2 linked regions of the Macaca mulatta genome follow. The protein of the gene in region 2 interacts with the protein of the main gene of each other region in a biochemical or structural test. Links are inferred from orthologs where the notes say so. Each region holds a gene or a part of one and is shown on either strand. Other genes may lie near its edges.

Region 1 (3,500 bases), on a different chromosome or scaffold from region 2:
TTTGAAGAAGGACAACGAGGAAAGCGAACAACTTCCAGTTCCAGGAACTCCCACGCTGAGGAATCGCACCTTCTCCGAGTCTTCGGTTTGGTCTCAGCAATCTTCTAGACCCTCCTTGAAAGATGGTGCTGTGGAGACCCAAGATGTGAGTTACCTCCTGTTACAACACGGCCTGGTTTTGTTGACTGCTAATGGCCTTATGGATCTTTAGTCTCCTCTGTTTGAAGCATCGTCTTTTGTCCCAAAGTAGATTCTGTGGTTTCAAGGCCCTGTTCCGTGATATTGGTAGATTAAAACAGAACCAAGGCAAACAACTCTGGTTGGAGTAATCCTTTGCGTGTAGGCTGGGGAATGTCATGGAGATGAGTAGCAGGTGTGTGTACTGGTGCAAGTCCCAAGCTGTGTGTGACTCACGCTAATATTACAATTCTTGAATTTACTGTAGTGAAGTCCTAGTTAGTCTGGTAGACCCCGACTTCTCTTTGCATCCAGAGGCATAATTTGAAGACCACCTTAGAGAAAGTCCTGCTGTGGGCCACATGAAGTTAGCCACTTTTCCTATATGTTGGAATGTTCTGACGCCGCACGTGGCTGAGGGAGGTATTTTGCCCTGTTGTCAGATGGTTTATGTTAGGCTAGAAGTAGCACGTGCAAAGACCCAACAGTTGCTGACACACAGCAGCCCATCTTCCTTCTTTACCTTTCAAGGGTAGGAGCTGCATCTTACTCATCTTGGTATTCCCAGTGGCCAACATAGAGCTGCTCAGTACATCCTCAGAGTATGTGAATCTCATGCCTTCTAAGTCCTCCAGGCAGAAATGTACCAGAGCTCACTTAAAAACATAGATATTCCTTGCCACACTAACCCTCACTATCCAAATCCAGGAGCCTGAAGGATTCTTGCAGATATTCAGATTAGGCCCTCACATGCCAAATTCTCAGGAGTCAATTTCTGAAACTCAGGAACCAAACAGATTAGGATCATATGCTATCCCTTGCTTTCCAAACTCTGGTTACTCAGACTCACTGCTTGAACCCAGTTACTGTATTGAGCTCATGTTTTGACCTTCTGCTCTTTTATGCTTCCATATTGAGTGATGCAGTTGAGAGTTCCATATCTTTCTGTACATGATTTTGGAACAAGTTTCTGTATGTATACTTGAATTTGGATGTGCTCGGTAAGTGCTGGACATTCTGATGTCATCCTGCCAGCAAGCCATGCCACAGTGTACAAATGATATTTCCTTACCTCTAGTAGAACCTTGAAAGTGGGATGGCTGAGTCCAGGGATTAGTGCATGTAGCTGGGTGTGGTGGCTCATGCCTGTCATCCCAGCACTTTGGAAGGCTGAGGCAAGAGGATCACCTGAGGTCAGGAGTTCCAGACCAGCCTGGCCAACATGGTGAAAACCTGTCTCCACTAAAAAATACAAAAATTAGCCAGGCGTGGTAGCAGGCATCTGTAATCCCAGCTACTCAGGAGGCTGAGGCAGGAGAATCGCTTGAACCTAGCTAGGAGGCAGAGGTTGCAGTGAGCCAAGATCGCTCCACTACACTCCAACCTGGGCAACAGTAGCGAAACTTCGTCTCAAAAAATATTAAATAAATAAAAAGTAAGTACATGTATAGTTTGGCTGGATATTTCCACACCCTTCTCCACAGGAGATGGATCATTTTGGACTTCTGCCTGTTTCCCCACAGCTTTGTCAACAGAGTGCATTGTCATCTTTGGGAACAGTTTTGTATACGATTTTGTCTCTTACCACCCTTTCCTTTGCAGACGGAGAATGTCCCAGTTACACTCTCAGACGAGAACCGTTCTGAAGGAAAAGTTGGTTTTCAGGCCTATAAGAATTACTTCAGAGCTGGTGCTCACTGGATTGTCATCATTTTCCTTATTCTCCTAAACACTGCAGCTCAGGTAAATAATGACATTTGTTTTGTGCCCTCAAAATGATATTTACAGTACCTGTGTTTATGCTATTTTGACTGCATCTTGCAGTTCACTTGGGATCTGAATTGAAATGTGCTGTCTTTGGGGAACAAAGTGAGGGCTGCCTAGTGGTGTCCCATTACAAAGACCTTCTGCGGAAAAAAAAAGGGTATCTTTCAATGATTTTAAAATGGAACATGCGTTTTCTTGAGTTCTTGATATCTGGGAGTTTGGGCTCAGCGTAGACCTGAGCTGGAAGAACTATGCAAGTTCTCTGAGCTTTTTATTCTTTCTATTTTTTTCTTTTTCTCTTTTTTTCTTTTTTTTTTTTTTGAGATGGAGTTTTGCACTGTTGCCCAGGTTGGAGTGCAGTAGCGCAATCTTGGCTCACTGCAACCTCCGCCTCCCGGGCTTAAGCAGTTCTCCTATCTCAGCCTCCGGAGTAGCTGGGACTACAGGCACATGTGCCACCATGCCTGGCTAGGCTCATTTTTGTATTTTTAGTAGACCTAGGGTTTCATTATGTTGGCCAGGCTGGTCTTGAACTCCTGGCCTTAAGTTGATCTGCCTGCCTCAGCCTCCCAAAGTGCTGGGGTTGCAAGCATGAGCCACCACGCACAGCTTTGAGGGCTTTCTTTCGATTGTCCATGTTAGCGATTGAGAGTTTTGAGTTGGTAAGTCATGCCCAAGTTTGATTTTTGTCTTTGTTGTTTCTCACCTCCTAGGTTGCCTATGTTCTTCAAGATTGGTGGCTTTCGTACTGGTAAGTTATTTCTGACGTATGAAATAGTCAAACATCAGTAAGAAGACTCGCTTTTCCGTAGAGTTAGGGGGAGATATTTGTTGATCCTTCTCTTCTAATCCTCACTTAGTTTACCCGAAGAAAAGTTAGAGTGCTTGCTGGTGGAGTGTAACCTGTGGTGGTCTCCACCCATGTCTGATCCGCGGCATCATGTTCACAGACAGTTTCGGGAACTGAAAGTCGTGATTTAAATTGAATTTTTATGAGGTAGATACACACAGGACTATATGAGCTGAGAATCATTTTCCAGCATAAAGCATTTCTCTCAAATTGTGGTTCATTTTTTAAAAAAAGGTATTTCTCTAAATTCCATATATAGCTTAATATTTTTTTCTCCCCATGTTCCATAGGGCAAACCAACAAAGTACGCTAAATGTCACTGTAAATGGAGGAGGAAATGTAACCAAGAAGCTAGATCTTAACTGGTACTTAGGAATTTATTCAGGTAAAGTTAAATCATTTGGTCTATTATATGAGAGGCTGAGGTGCTTACAATGAGCCTGTGTGAGTAACCAGGGCTTCCAGGAGTAATTCAGTAATGTCTTAACAGATTAGGAGTCTCAGTCGAATTTACTCTGTGAATTAATTAGAATAATTATTTTAAAAGTCTACTAGAAGAAAGAGGTTGAATGAAGACTCTTAATGTGCTCTGTACTGGATTTTGAAAGTTAAACCAGGATTGAGCATTCAGAAAATCAGCCACTGGAAATATGTGGCTATTGTCTATTCTAATAGGTTGCTTTAGCTAAATCTTATATCATTATAC
Region 2 (3,500 bases):
TTTTTAACTCCTTTCAAAAGACGAACATCTACACATAAAATTATAAATTGAACATGAGCATCAGTTATTTAAGCAACTACTGCAAAGCCACACTAGAGCCACAGAAACACTTAACTGAGTTTAAGTAGGTCAGAAATGCAGAAATTCAGAAAAGTTAAGAATAAACGCCATGCCAGAAGCCATCTGTGTCAGTGACAATGTTAGTTCATATACTGTGGACTGGGGAAAAAATATTAGATGAAATATTTACATATGCAATACATTTTTGTTATTCTGTTAACTATATAGTAAACTTTTTTATATTTAGATAATCAACAATTATTAATAGCAAAGTTCAGAAAATGCTAAACAGAGATACATGTATTATTTTTAGTATATGTGCACAATCTCAAAGAGACAGACACATAAACATATAAAATTAATATTTTTGTTAGAAATAGTGGGGAGTAAAGGAGAGGATAGAAACACACATTATCATCCCAATTGTCCTGGCTGAGTTTAAATTTGGAACTCTATTCCCAGTACCAGAGAAAAACACCTAGAATATAAAGAGATAATCAGTAATTCAGAGACTCTTGTTTCATCTTGTTTAGAAAACAAAGAGTGCCAATTAAGGAAAATAATTAAGTTCATAAAGAAAAGAATGAAAAACTCACGTTCAATTACCTTTTCTAACTTTTTGGCTTCAATATGTCGAAGTACTTGTTCTCTCCAGTCATGAGGAACTTTACTTTTTCCTGGAGGATCTAATAAAGAATGCTCAGAACCAACCCTTGCATTTGGTCTTTTTGAAGGACTAGTCCGTGAATAATTGAAATCACTAACTGACATAGTTCTCTCTGGTATTTCATTAACAGAGGGTCGAGCACTCTGAGGTCTTGATGCATTTGGACCATCTATGCTGTATGTTCGTGCAGAAAGAGGTCTCTGTGATCCTGGCATCATTTGAGGAGTTCTTCCCACTGAGTGGAACTCTCTGTATGATAAATAATCTCCTTCAGGAATCTGGGCCCGCCTGGTAGAACCTGGATCACCAAGATTTACAGAGGCTGTGGAGGACACACTACTTTGTCGCTGAATTGTACTTCGAGTTACTGCAGGAATAAGTCGGTCGTTTGGTGAGATGGCCCACATTTCCCCATGTCTCGCTGGGCCAAGTCTCTGATGTAAATGGTATGCAGTATTAGCTCGAACATTGTTATGATTAGAGAAATTCAGATTGGCAGAATGTTTAGCATAACTTTGATTTTCTGTGCTCTCTGATCTAGGAAGGCGCTGAGGAGGAAAACTGGCATGATCTATTTGGGGATTTTGTTTGGAGTGCCACAAGGTGTCTTTGACTGCAGCATTGCTACTGTATTGGATATTATACTGTGGAGGACCATATATTTGAGGTGTAGATTGTGGGCCACTTGTGGGACCTCTTATTATATTTGGTTCTTCGGGATTATGATTTGAATCGAACTTGAAAATTGCCTTTGTTCCTGATATTAAATCAGAAGATGAAGAAGAACCAGTAAATACCTGCAATGGTTGATCATACAACAGTGTGGCAGACTTGCTCCTGACTATATTTTTTCCATCGACAGTAGATGTGATTTTAACGGTTGTACTTGGTTGCTGAGGTCCATTACCACTAAGAATATCATAGATTTTTAGCCCTCCAATCTCCATATTAGTTATGCTATGAGATTTCACAACAGATCCAACTGGACCACTTTTCTGAGGGGAGAGATCTTCAGTGCTTTTGGAAATACCTAAGTCAACAGAACAATCACTGTCATGTGGTTCAGTCCTATTAGGAGACTGTGAAGTTTCCTCAGAATGTCCATTTACCTTATTTACAGATTCCAAATTAGGATACTTGTTTCCATTTTCCAAGTGCTCAGTTTCCTCTTTAGAATTAATGCTTAAAAAGCTTGTTCCAAGCATGATATCCTGTGGTTTTGATCTTTCCATCTCTGGTTGAAACGTATCATTAGTTATAAGCTTATTAAGATTCATATTGATGTGATCTAATTTGTGAGTGTCATCAGCTGTGGCTGTTGAGTCAACACTTTTCTCAATTAGAACTAATCGCTCTTCGATATTCAAATCATATTCAGGTAAGTTAAAATCTTTTTTATCATGAGCTTTGAACTTTTCCTCTGTTGAATTGTTTAAAATATCTCCATTTTGTAAAAGGCTGTTAAAATTTTCATCTTCTTGCCTAAAATAAAGATAATTTTATGAAAAACATAATAAAGCCAAACTTTCTTAGTAACAGGGAACATTAATAAATAAATTGCGTAGGTAGACAAGTTAAAAAACTTAATAAATTAAGTCAAAGACAAAAGGCATTTATTATCAAGTATGTAATTTAAAAATATTATCTTAAAAGAGCTTTATATTCAGTTGCAGACAAGTAATACAATTAAGTTATAGATAAAACCAAGATTAATTTTCATCAATATGCTCAATCTAATTTGTCACAAAATTCAAAGGGCTGAACTATGAATAAAATTAGAATTTTTAATCTGCTGCATCTTTTCATGAATATGCTAAAAAAACAAAATGCTTGAAAGAGGGCAAATATATGGAAAGAAAACTAGTAACATGAATAGTGGAGTAAAGCGCACAGGACATTTTTACAGTTAATTTTGAAGCCTTACATTATTAACCAAATTAACCACAGTTAACGAAGTACACAGCTGTTATTACATTCAAATATACAGGTAAGAAAACTGTACAAAGCCAAGAACTGAATAATTGTCCAAAGTATTATATCAAATATGTAAAAGGCATAAAAAGATACATGAAGTCTAATCACTCTTCTAAGTAGCTAGCTGTATTTGGCAAATACTTTTAAAAGTGTCACTCCAAAATTATAGAAAATATTTTATTTTTACCTGGTGGTATAAAGTATTTGTGTCCTCTTGAATACATATTCAAGTTATGTTTCCACAAAAATTCCCTAATACTGGGTCTTCCCATTACAAAAAAGAAAACTTTCATTACTAGAAACACAGCACAAAAAGGTGTTGCTGTATTCCTTGCTTAGGCTTTATTCATTATATTAAAAGCAGGATTTAGAAAATATACCACTTTCCCAACAATAAAAAAAATTTTATTATTCAACAAATTAATACGATAATATCTAGGAGGTTATAAAAATTAGTATTTTAAACAGTAGCTCATAGCCTCAAATTCAAAGAATAGAAATAAATGATTGATTGTAATTACACAATACCTTAACTCATTTTCAGGCATAAAATTCATATCCCTTTTCCAACAATACATGTTAATATACAAATTTTACTTAAATACGCCTGAAATTTAAGAACAACTCTAAATGACTGTTAAAAATATCCATACATTAAGCTTTTGGTTTAGTAGTAACCCCAAGTAACCCCATTTTTTTTTTTTTTGAGACAGGGTCTCAATTCTGTCACCCATGCTGGAGTGCAGTAGCCTGATCATGACTTGCTGCAGCCTAAACCTCCCAGGCTACAGAACCTCCC

The links. The genes of interacting proteins can lie anywhere in the genome.
Region 1: the proteins of ERBIN (region 2) and ABCC4 interact in a test that uses a peptide from one of them, tested with the Homo sapiens proteins (2 studies listed by BioGRID and IntAct). The link is inferred for Macaca mulatta from reciprocal best matches to the Homo sapiens genes ERBIN and ABCC4.

What each region holds. Positions count from the first base shown.
Region 1 is NC_133422.1:89,898,992-89,902,491, reverse strand, and holds part of ABCC4 (ATP-binding cassette sub-family C member 4), read left to right. Parts: coding exon 1-145; intron 146-1,779; coding exon 1,780-1,920; intron 1,921-2,657; coding exon 2,658-2,695; intron 2,696-3,084; coding exon 3,085-3,179; intron 3,180-3,500. UniProt on the Homo sapiens protein: ATP-dependent transporter of the ATP-binding cassette (ABC) family that actively extrudes physiological compounds and xenobiotics from cells.
Region 2 is NC_133411.1:74,157,244-74,160,743, reverse strand, and holds part of ERBIN (erbin), read right to left. Parts: intron 2,210-3,500; coding exon 667-2,209; intron 1-666. UniProt on the Homo sapiens protein: Acts as an adapter for the receptor ERBB2, in epithelia. By binding the unphosphorylated 'Tyr-1248' of receptor ERBB2, it may contribute to stabilize this unphosphorylated state.